Arabidopsis thaliana: one gene and its partner. The protein of the gene in region 2 interacts with the protein of the main gene of each other region in a pairwise test. Each region holds a gene or a part of one and is shown on either strand. Other genes may lie near its edges.

The links.
Region 1: the proteins of AT5G14520 (region 2) and AT5G15550 interact in a two-hybrid assay, tested with the Arabidopsis thaliana proteins (one study listed by BioGRID).

The regions. Positions count from the first base shown.
Region 1 is NC_003076.8:5,058,190-5,063,832, reverse strand, and holds AT5G15550 (Transducin/WD40 repeat-like superfamily protein), read left to right. Parts: upstream 1-1,688; 5' UTR 1,689-1,829; coding exon 1,830-1,986; intron 1,987-2,228; coding exon 2,229-2,329; intron 2,330-2,443; coding exon 2,444-2,550; intron 2,551-2,885; coding exon 2,886-2,921; intron 2,922-3,035; coding exon 3,036-3,121; intron 3,122-3,254; coding exon 3,255-3,313; intron 3,314-3,392; coding exon 3,393-3,503; intron 3,504-3,611; coding exon 3,612-3,737; intron 3,738-3,868; coding exon 3,869-4,012; intron 4,013-4,145; coding exon 4,146-4,254; intron 4,255-4,345; coding exon 4,346-4,482; coding exon of another isoform or gene 4,483-4,518; exon of another isoform or gene 4,519-4,566; coding exon 4,567-4,602; intron 4,603-4,689; coding exon 4,690-4,782; 3' UTR 4,783-4,785; exon of another isoform or gene 4,786-4,899; 3' UTR 4,900-5,134; downstream 5,135-5,643. UniProt on the Arabidopsis thaliana protein: Required for maturation of ribosomal RNAs and formation of the large ribosomal subunit.
Region 2 is NC_003076.8:4,680,037-4,686,414, reverse strand, and holds AT5G14520 (pescadillo-like protein), read left to right. Parts: upstream 1-1,942; 5' UTR 1,943-2,084; coding exon 2,085-2,108; intron 2,109-2,263; coding exon 2,264-2,349; intron 2,350-2,584; coding exon 2,585-2,833; intron 2,834-2,932; coding exon 2,933-3,058; intron 3,059-3,162; coding exon 3,163-3,247; intron 3,248-3,335; coding exon 3,336-3,446; intron 3,447-3,540; coding exon 3,541-3,634; intron 3,635-3,769; coding exon 3,770-4,035; intron 4,036-4,489; coding exon 4,490-4,597; intron 4,598-4,677; coding exon 4,678-4,799; intron 4,800-4,896; coding exon 4,897-5,116; intron 5,117-5,207; coding exon 5,208-5,405; intron 5,406-5,542; coding exon 5,543-5,626; 3' UTR 5,627-5,875; downstream 5,876-6,378. Other genes in the region: AT5G14530 (Transducin/WD40 repeat-like superfamily protein), read left to right, coding at 1-108, 197-263, 345-444, 692-808, 896-1,033, 1,116-1,197, 1,286-1,335, 1,475-1,633. UniProt on the Arabidopsis thaliana protein: Required for maturation of ribosomal RNAs and formation of the large ribosomal subunit. Plays an essential role in cell growth and survival through its regulation of ribosome biogenesis and mitotic progression.

The DNA.
Region 1 (5,643 bases), 380 kb from region 2:
TTGTTAAGTGCACGGGAACGATTTAGGATTTATGTAAGCAAAAATAGTTCGTAGTTAACAAAGTTTGACCACCACTCTTTTACCAAAAAAACAAAATTGACCACTCCACCACTTTTAGCAAAAAGTAAGTAATCTCGAGAAGGAAAAAAACAAAAGTCATTAGTATGGGTTAAAAACTTAAATACATGTACTAATCAACAAGAAAATAAATTTGGTGATTTTATTATATAAAGTATGGTTTTCAAAGTTGCTAACTCATAGGATTGTGCCACGTGTCAAGTCAAACGATCAGATGTTTACATGTGTCATTCAAAATTTAACTTTTTAATTCTCTAAAAAAATAGAAAATCTTAAAAAGTAAACAAATTTACATATACTAATTTATATGTCTATATATTTATAAACAATTAACATTTATTCAACAAAAGGAAAATTAACAAATTTGTCTTTAACTCATGTAATCATAAGTGAAAATAGAACATTTTGAGAAAAATAGCTTAGCTTACAGGACTTAACTTTTCAATTATTTTTATTTATTAATTTTAACTCATTTAATATTAATTTGCATGATGTAAAATTAACTTACGAGATTACGGCATATATAGAAAATATATTTTCAACAATGTTTGGTTTCTAAATATTTTTGTGGATTTTTTTTATATTAATTATTAGCCCTAGGCGTTTGGGTTTTCGGGTCGGGTATTTAGGGTTCGGGTTTTCGGGTTTAGAAGTTTAGGACCCGTTCGGGTAATTTAAGGTTTCGGGACATTTATTCAACAAAAAGAAAATTAACAAATTTGTCTTTAACTCATGTAATCATAAGTGAAAATAAAACATTTTGAGAAAAATAGTTTAGCTTACAGGATTTAACTTTTCAATTATTTTCATTTATTAACTTTAACTCATTTAATATTAATTTGCATGATGTAAAATTAACTTACGAGATTACGCCATATATAGAAAATATATTTTTTAACAATGTTTGGTTTCTAAATTTTTTTGTGGATTTCTTTTTTCTATTAATTATTAGCCCTGGGCGTTTGGGTATTCAGGTCGGGTATTTCGGGTTAGGGTTTTCGGGTTTAGAAGTTTAGGACCCGTTCGGGTAATTTAAGATTCCGGGTCGGGTTCGGGTTCGGATTCGAGTTTATTTATATATTGAAATATCAAATTTTGTGTGCAAATCTATTAAATTACTTGAAAATTTCAAAAATTCCCAAAACAACACGAGTAGTTTTGCTTGAATATATCTAAAATGACACAAAAATAACTAAAATATCCAAATAATCCTAATATTTTCTATATATAAGTATAAATATAACTAATATATACTTATATTTGAAATATGTTTGGATATCTATTCGGGTTCGGGTTCGAGTTTTTCGGGTTTTGAAGTTTAGACCCGTTCAAGTATTTGAAAATTTTCGGTACACCCGCCTAAATAGGCGGGCCTTATCTAGTGTTTATATAAAAGATAAGAAAAATATTTTACTCGGTTCAGTTTGATTATTTCAATTTTCTTTGGTTTGGTTTGGTTTGGTTTATATAAAAGTATAAACAGAGGCCTGAGCCGGCCCATCTTAAAGATCCAAATGCTTTGGGCCCAAAATTGATCTCTTCTCACTCGTCGAACCACATATTTCTCTGGTTTGAGTAGCCTCGGTATGATCTAAACCGGAAAAGGAGGTCAATTCCGTAATTTTAAATTTCCTTAAACCCTGTGCCTGGGTGAAATTTCCACACTTCATCGCCTCAAGGCAGAACCCTAATTTATCTCCGCGTCTTCTTTTTGCTCAGTAACAGGCCATCGGAGAAGTTAAGAGGCTAAAATGGATATCGACGGAGAAGATGTATCTAGAAGACTTCACGTTAAGTTCGTGACGAAGCTTGACTCTCCCTTCAAAGTTCCGGTCAACTCCGTCGCAATCCCTTCTAATGTCACTCGTCTCGGCCTCTCTTCCATCGTCAATTCTATTATCGAATCCGGTAGCCTTTTCTCTCCATCTCTCCCTGCAGTTTCGAATGCTAGTATTTATTCGTCTTTGTCTTTAAATTTGTCAAATCCTAAGTGTTACTTGGAATAGTGGTCTCTTTCTCATACGAGAGTTTGTTAGGTCTGCTTAGGAACTTGTTTGTACTTATGAATTAGAGAGCTTACATAAAAGCATATATTATTGTTCTACCTGTGATTATGCAATATTCATCACTGAGACTTTTTGGATGAACAGAGAATCCAGAGTGGAAAACTGAGCCGTTTGATTTCCTTATTGATGGGGAGCTTATTCGGATGTCACTCGAAGAGTTTCTTCTTGCAAAGGGAATATCGGCGGTAATGTGTTTCATCTTAATCTTCCACTATTCACACCAGCTAGTGTACTTGGAATTAGTCCATAGTGCTTTATCTTGGAAACATATACTTAATTAAGTTCATTGGTTCTTACAGGAGCGTACTCTTGAAATCGAATACATAAGGGCTGTGACACCACGGAAGGAAGAAGAACCCTCCTTGCATGATGATTGGGTCAGTGCGGTTAATGGTTCTTCTCCCAGGTAATATTTTTTCCTACTGCATTACTTTATGATGTAGAATTTCCTTTAAGCTGCTAGATGTCTTTTACTATTTCTTCTGTGACACCAGTAATTTGAATTAAAAACTCTTATTCATTTTTACGCACAACCACCTTGCCATATGGAAAATCATAGACCTGTATCTTTGTTTAATATATTCGACTGCCATATCATATGTTGTTAGAATTAGTCTTCATTTGTTCCAATTCAAGGCCATCCAGTGATCCGGATGATATCTAAGGATGAATATAGTCATTTGTTCTTGGTTTTAATGATTGTGTTAGTGGTTCTCTTGATCTCGCTGTTGTTATTTGCAGGTTCATTTTGACTGGGTGCTATGACGGATTAGGAAGGTGATCATTTGACTTATTTATTTAATCTTATATGCTTTTGATTATTTTCTATCCTTTTGTATTGCTTTCAAAATTTGCAAGAATCTTAGATTACTTGGTTTTTCTTCTGATCAGGGTATGGAGTTCGGCTGGATCGTGTTCACACATATTAGAAGGCCACTCCGGGGCTATCTCCTCTGTTGCTTTAGTTAATTCCAACGGTATGACCATCGCATGAGAAATCTATACTATGCCTGTTCTGTACTAGCAAATGATACTAACAAGAATAAATTTTCCCTTTTTTGGCTCATTGATCAATTCTTTGTTTTTCTTTGTGTTGATTTGTGCATCCAGATGCAGAAACTGTTACTGTAGCCACTGCCTCTAAAGATCGGACATTGAGATTGTTTAAGGTAATCACGGATGAGATATCATACTTAAAACCAAAGGTTTATTTTACGTCTAAGTAAAGATATCTCTCCCTGTCTGAAGTTTGATCCAGCTGAGTCTGTTGACTCTACTACGAAAGTAAGGGCATACAAGATATTGCGTGGACACAAGGCGTCAGTTCAAAGTGTTTCAGCTCAGAAATCCGGAAACATGGTTTGCTGTTACTCCTTTCACTTAACTTGTGTTTTGCAAGTATAATTTTGTTGCTATATTTCTTCGAGCTAAGCTGACCCCCTTTTTTTGTTGTATAATGGAATTTAGGTTTGCTCGAGTTCATGGGATTGCACCATCAATTTATGGAACACAAATGAATCTACTTCAGAAGGGGAGTCAGTATCAGTAAAGAAAAGAAAAGGAAATAATCAGGCCGAGGAATCTCAGTCAGAGGTACCGGATAATATGCATTCTTTTGAAACGTACTATCTACTCTTCAAATCAAAATAGAGAAATGTACTCCCAGTTGTGTTTTTCTGAGTTCCAAGTGTCTGATATCAATTACGATATTGAACTTCTTACAGGGAGAGGCAGTGACTTCTTTGGTTGGACACACACAGTGTGTATCATCAGTTGTTTGGCCAGAGCATGATGTAATTTATTCCTCTTCGTGGGACCATTCCGTTAGGAGATGGGATGTTGAGACAGGGAAAGATTCTTTGAACTTGGTATGCCTTCTCTCTCTCCTTTTCTTTCGTAAATATTAGGGCACACACCAGACATGTTGTTGCCGAAAAATCAGTGCTTTTGAAGTTGTTTTCGCCGGAAACTTAAAGCCGGTTTGTTTCTGTGAAATTGTAGTTCTGTGGAAAAGCTCTCAACACGGTAGATGTTGGTGGTGAAAGTTCTGCCCTTATAGCTGCTGGTGGCTCAGATCCAATCCTTAGAGTATGGGATCCTCGTAAGCCAGGTGATAGATCCATATGAACACACACCAAGTCAATATAACCAGACCGGTTTTTTATTACACAGTTGATAAACTGTCTTCATTTACTCTGTAGGAACATCCGCTCCCGTGTTTCAGTTCTCTTCACACTCATCATGGATTTCCGCCTGTAAGTGGCACAAAAGCTCTTGGTTTCACTTGCTCTCCGCTTCCTACGACGGCAAAATCATGCTCTGGGATCTCAGAACCGCTGTAATGACAAAGCACACACACTCCTTTCCGTTATAACCCACGGTTTTCTATCTTTAAAAACTAATCTTCTTCCTCCTTTTGCAGTGGCCTTTGTCAGTAATTGATACACACAATGACAAGGTAAAGTAAACACAATGTTATCTTCCAGCTTCTACTCTTTTAGTTCTTCTTGTTACTGAAATGGTATAAAACAACTTGGTTTTAAAGGTTTTATCTGCTGACTGGTGGAAAGGAGAGAGTGTAGTCAGCGGAGGAGCAGACTCTAACTTGCGAATTTCTTCCGGAATCGCAATTTCTTAAAAGGTATGAAATCCGAAATCTTTTGACCATTTCTTTTCTTACATGAAATGTGGAGCAATGAAACATTTACTCAGTTCCGTACGATGTCTGAGAAAATTCGATTCTTTTCTTACTCAGAAACACAAACGATTCATGATCCTGGAATGAGACTGTTGTAAGTTCTGCTGAATAGAGCTTATTGTCTTCAAGGTTGTATACTCTTCATATTCCGAAATGTTAAATCTTAATTATACTTTTGGTGGGAAGCAAATTTTGTTTTTATTGTCTGATAACGACCATTTAAAATCAAGAGCTATTTACTTATGTTGTCTGCCGTGCTAAATACTAAATTAGTTTGCTTTTCTTTGGCCGAAAAATAAAATAGCATCAACTACAAAACTCTACTATCTTCGTTCCCCAATAATACAATTCCAAACCATGTGCTGAAAATTATCGAATACATTGGCAAAAAAGGACTATATTAAATAATTCCCAATCAAAAGTTAATCTTGCCATCGTAAGGTTGTTTGAAGTTTGAACTGCCAATTAGGTGGAGCAACATCATGAAAGCCCAAACATTTCCTATCACTTGTAGTGACATTATAGGACAAACTCTCTCCGGTTAGCTTCAAATTAGTATCCCAATCCTGTCCCCAATGCCAATGCATCTGAAACCAACCACCTCTCTTCGAACCTTCCACCTTAAGCTACATCACCAACATGTTCAACGTTGTAAACAAAAACCATCAAGAAATAAGGATATATCTTCCTAAGCGTTTTGAATATTGGGACCGATGAACTCGATCTCGACTCGGTTTGGATCAATCTCATCGGTCCCAATATTGAATGAGCTAATAGAGGTTCTTTCAAAAGAGCTTTTAG
Region 2 (6,378 bases):
AGCTGAAGATTACATACCATAAGAAACATGGCACCGATCGTGTATGCTTTACCCATCATCCTAGCTCTCTAATTTGCTCTTCTCGATACAATTTGGAGTCCACTGGTGGTGAGTCCTCCTTTTCTCTTGCTTGAGATTGGATAATCAAAGCGGTGGTGGATTATTACTTACTTGTATACTTGTTTTTGTGTACCAGAATCCTTGAGATATCTCTCAATGTATGATAATCGGATCCTACGCTACTTTAAAGGGCATAAAGACAGGTCTGCTTATAACCTCTGGAATTGTGAATTTGGATTTTACTAGTATGTACATTGATGATGGAAAATGTTCTTCTGTTTCAGGGTTGTATCACTTTGTATGTCTCCTATAAATGATAGCTTCATGTCTGGTTCTCTCGACCGAAGTGTTAGACTCTGGGATCTTCGTGTAAATGCCTGCCAGGTTGGTTTCTATAGTTTTACACTCTGAGAAGGCTAGATGGAATAAGTCTTAATATGCTAGAGTTTTAATGAGAAAAGTGCCTTTTTCTTTTTGTTAGCAAAAACCTCGTGATATATCACCTTGAAAGTTAAACTTGATGAAGATGCTGGAACCACGAAACATTGAGAATATTTAGGCTCTTTACCTTAATACTCTCTCTGTGAATTTATATGGTTTCATGATCTATGCTTACCCTTTTAGTCAATAGGGAATTCTACATCTACGTGGTAGACCTGCAGTTGCGTATGACCAACAAGGCCTTGTGTTTGCAATTGCAATGGAAGGAGGTGCTGTTAAATTATTTGATTCCAGGTGTTATGACAAGGTTAGCTTCTTACAATGATTCACACAGCCTTACGCATGACTGCTCTTGTTAGTTCTAACTTCTAAACCCAATTGATCTCTTATGTAGGGTCCCTTTGACACATTTCTGGTGGGTGGGGATACTGCTGAGGTTAACGATATAAAATTCAGCAACGATGGGAAATCCATGCTCCTAACGACTACAAATAACAATATCTACGTTCTTGATGCATATCGTGGAGAGAAGGTAATCACGTTCTCTATCTTTCACCTGAAGAAGACAGAACGTTAGGTTTCAAGTTGGTAAAAGACGGTATGTTATTTTGCAGAAATGTGGTTTTAGTTTGGAGCCTTCACAGGGTACACCCATAGAGGCCACCTTCACACCAGATGGCAAGTATGTTCTGTCAGGTAATACGCGTTCCTAGATGATCTTTTATCATGACTCATCTACACAATATTCAAATTTAATCAGCTTAGTTTTCTTTTTCGGATACAGGTTCAGGTGATGGAACCTTACATGCGTGGAACATCGAGAACCCATCTGAGGTAAAGTGCAGAATAATCAACACCACTAGGACACTGATTCACTTAAAAGTGATGAATAATTTATAAAGTTGTAGATACTATTTTTGCGTTATGCTTTCACAGTATTTAAATTTTAGTGGGGATTTTGTGTAAAAAGCAGGTGGCGAGGTGGGAGAACAACATAGGAGTAGTGTCGTGTCTGAAATGGGCACCACGTAGAGCCATGTTCGTTGCTGCTTCTACGGTTCTCACATTCTGGATCCCAAACGACGGTGAATCACCAGCCCCCGCCGATCCTCCTACCGATCAACAACAGTGACGACATATATGTTTCCATTATGCACTTGTGTATCGTTTTTTAATGTTGACAATTAGAAAAATTTGGAAGCAGTAGTATGTTAATCAAATTTAGAGTTTATGAATTTGAGTCTAGATGGTTACAATATGTTTTCTTTAATGACTATTTACTCTTATTTTACGTAAAAAAGATATGGATGAATACATACATCAATGTTCACGTAAACTGGAAAAGATTTCACGAACCATGATCCTAATAAAAAACCCAGAAGAACAAACAACAATGAGCATATTGGGCCTTAAAAGCCCATGGTATAATAAACCTGAGAAGAAGTCAAATAGGTCATAAGAAGCCCATTATATCGTCCTCTTGTACCCCGACTTTTAACAAATCGTTTTGGCTAAAACCCTAATTCTCTGTCTCTCTTTTTCCTCTCCGCGTCTCTCGTTCCTTCTCTGGTGGCGTTTTCACCATGCCGAAGCATTACAGACCAACGGTGAGTGTTTCTCTTTGATTGAAGCTCTATTCTCCCCAATATTCGTTGTTCAACAACTGTTGTAATCTATTTTCGTCTTTCCCTTTGCTCGAAAAACTTTGGAGCTGGTTCTTTCTTGTTTCTGAGATGAATTTGGTTATGTTTGTCATTTGTAGGGGAAAAAGAAGGAAGGAAATGCGGCTAGGTATATGACCAGGTCGCAAGCTCTTAAACATCTTCAAGTTAACTTGAATCTATTCAGGTTCACTCTCTTTCTTCTTTATCCTTCAACTTTTCACTGTTTTTCTTCGAGTTATTGTTCGGACAAGCATATGTGTGCACTAGGTTTTTTTCAGATGCTTCGTGTTTTGTCAATTTATCTTAGAATTGATATCGAGATTGTGTTATGTTCCTAGCTAGGTTTTTACTTAGAAATTCTCTGGTTATCAGTAGGTGACTAATTTGTTATTATTGTACCTGCCGATTATGTATTTCAGGAGACTATGTATTGTCAAAGGTATATTTCCCCGAGAACCAAAGAAGAAGATTAAGGGAAACCATCACACTTACTACCATGTCAAGGACATTGCTTTCCTCATGCACGAGCCTCTTCTTGAGAAGTTTAGGGAAATCAAAACATACCAAAAGAAGGTCAAAAAAGCCAAGGCCAAGAAAAACGAGGAGCTTGCACGCCTTCTGCTCACCCGCCAACCTACTTACAAGCTTGATAGATTGATCCGTGAGAGGTTTGCTTGACACACTTGAATTTATTATACAGTTGTGTTTGAACATCCATGAGTTTTAGACTGTTAACTCTCATTTCTATTTATGTTATTAATGTTTAGGTATCCAACATTTATTGATGCACTGCGAGACTTGGATGACTGTCTCACTATGGTTCATCTTTTTGCGGTGTTACCTGCATCAGACAGGGAAAATCTTGAAGTTAAGCGAGTCCACAACTGTCGAAGGTCAGAATCTTATACTTTCTCTTGGACCCTTGTGTCTTGACTTATTGACGGCTTCTTTTAGTTTCATATTTTTAATCTGACTCTGTGCTTCTTTTGTGAATCAGATTGACCCATGAATGGCAAGCTTACATTTCACGTTCTCATGCGTTACGTAAAGTGTTTGTGTCTGTCAAGGGTATTTACTATCAGGTATTGTTTTACTTTATCTTGAGAGCTTATAATGGGATTAGTAGATTACTTCCTCTTTAATGAAACTTTGGTAATATTATCTTGATAGGCTGAAATAGAAGGTCAAAAGATCACTTGGTTGACCCCTCATGCAATCCAACAAGTTTTTACAAATGATGTTGACTTTGGTGTCCTGCTTACCTTCTTGGAATTTTACGAGGTGAGAACTTCTAATATCTATTCATTCCCCCTTTTCCTTAATAATTTAATGTTTGGACTTTTGCTGACAAATTTTCATTCACCTTTTGATGCAGACTCTTCTTGCCTTTATTAACTTCAAGCTTTACCATTCTCTGAATGTTAAATACCCGCCAATCCTTGACTCTCGGTTGGAGGCTTTGGCTGCAGGTACGTTGTCCTCCTCCAAGAAGCAATTATTTTCCTCAAGAGATATCTTTCATATGGGAGTTCATATGTAACCATTAGAACGTGTCACCTATTACTCTGATTAATATATATTTGTTTATGTCTTCAATGTTGCAGATCTCTATGCACTGTCTAGATACATAGATGCCAGCTCCAGAGGCATGGCGGTGGAACCCAAAGTTGATGCTTCATTTAGCTCACAGTCAAATGACCGTGAAGAGTCTGAACTTAGACTTGCACAGCTTCAGCACCAGCTGCCTTCAAGTGAGCCTGGAGCATTGATGCATCTGGTTGCAGATAACAATAAAGAGGTTGAAGAGGATGAAGAAACAAGAGTGTGCAAGTCACTCTTCAAGGATCTGAAGTTTTTCTTGAGCCGTGAGGTATCTTTTTGATTCATTCTTTCTGAGCCACTTCTTATCACTGAATTTTGTTCTAAAATAGTAAATCATTGGCAAATTTTAACTGTTATGGACAAAACATACTCATTTGCTACTAAACTGATTCAGTAATTTACCAAATAAAATGGTAATTTTTCTATAGCCTAAATCTCTGACATGTCTATAATGTTCAAAGACTCTTACTTAAAGACAAACCATTTGTAAGTAACGGCATTTAAAAAAAAAATGATTCTTATACGTACTTAGTGGTGAGGGAACCTAGAACTACTGTGTAGTCCTAACCAAAGTTGTGTCAATGATTGTAAATTGCATTCCATGTTTTGATATTTGGAAGATCTGTGTTCTTGAGTGTCTCCTCACAGTGACCTAGAAGATCATTAAATTGTTTCATGACTGGGGCCTGTCTATTGTATAATAATTTTGTATACTTGTGTAGGTTCCAAGAGAGTCCCTGCAATTGGTGATTACTGCTTTTGGTGGGATGGTGTCTTGGGAAGGAGAAGGTGCACCTTTCAAGGAGGATGATGAGAGTATTACACATCATGTAAGCTATTTAGCTTGATTATTAATATTACGATTGTGTCTAGATAGATAGTCTCAAGAACATACATTATACTTCTGTAGATCATCGATAAGCCAAGCGCTGGCCATTTGTACCTTTCTAGGGTATATGTGCAACCACAGTGGATCTATGACTGTGTGAATGCTCGCATAATCTTGCCAACTGAAAAGTACTTGGTCGGAAGGTAACACACTCGAAGACTTTGCTTATTTCTTTTTTCACTACCATGTTTTGTTTTACTCAGCTGTTTGTATATGTATTGTGTGCTTTTCTACAAGCAGAATTCCACCGCCACACTTGTCACCATTTGTGGACAATGAAGCAGAAGGATACGTTCCTGATTATGCCGAAACCATCAAAAGACTACAGGCAGCAGCAAGAAACGAAGTGCTTCCATTGCCAGGTGTTGGGAAAGAGGATCTTGAAGATCCTCAAAATTTATTGTACGCTGGTGTTATGAGTCGTGCGGAGGAAGCCGAAGCTGCAAAGAACAAGAAGAAGGTTTGACTTTGCTGATATATAAGCAATTCAAGCCTGTCAAACTTTTGTATGCGTTGATTAAGTTGTTAACTTTGTGGGTTATTTTATGTAGATGGCGGCGCAGGAGAAGCAATACCATGAGGAACTGAAGATGGAAATAAATGGAAGTAAGGATGTTGTAGCGCCTGTGTTGGCTGAAGGTGAGGGTGAAGAATCAGTTCCGGATGCTATGCAAATAGCTCAAGAGGACGCTGATATGCCCAAAGTGTTGATGTCCCGTAAGAAGAGGAAGCTCTACGATGCCATGAAGGTATGTACCCATTTACATTTACCATTTTTTTTTTTTTTATATAGTTTCTATAGGTCTGTAAGAGCATAGCAATGAAAGGGTCTCTTAGTGTTTGTAAGTTGATGTTAATTTGGTGTATTGTGAAATGGTATCTGCAGATTTCGCAGTCAAGGAAGAGATCAGGTGTTGAAATAATCGAGCAGCGCAAGAAAAGGTTGAATGATACTCAACCATCATCATGATAACTTGTTTTTATATTTTTGTTTACATTTCTGTTTCTTCAGAAGGCTTTTTCTTAAGTTATGTATCATCATCATTAGTCTTTCGCGACATGTACTTCCAAATTTTTTAAAAAGTTTTGATTTTGATTTTTATACGTCCAACTATACTGAAGTTTTAGACTAAATTTTATGAATCTATTGCGTACGTCTTAACTTTGTTACATGAATAATGTAAGAGTAAGACAATGATTTTCTTAAAGACAACGGCGCTGTACAACATAGAATATCAAAAGTACATTTCAATTTTATAATATTTGATCTCTTTTTTTTCTTGATGCATGAGTACGCCTAAAGAAATAATCTTATCTACCTAATAATTACTAAAAAATGGTAACAATAATAGACTTGAATGGGAATTTTCTAGTTGGAGACGTTCTTACAATTTACAAACTCGGTATCGTTTACAATGTATTTTAGTCAGCAAGTTTATTTGATAACAAGTTGTATATTGTATAGTTTTCGTTGGAAATATATAATTTTAAAAATGTATATACTGTACGTATTTCTGAATTCCATACTTGTAACCGAAGAAAATTTAAGCACTTTTTTCTTACACACATATTCGAACTAGGGACCAATGGGGATAGAAACTTGATCATATTCCTGTCCTAACCAAAAGAGAAGGATGTAAAACATTAAAATAAAAAAATATGTTATTTTCTATTGAAAATTTTGCATTTATAGACGACTAAAATATAAAAAACACACCCAAA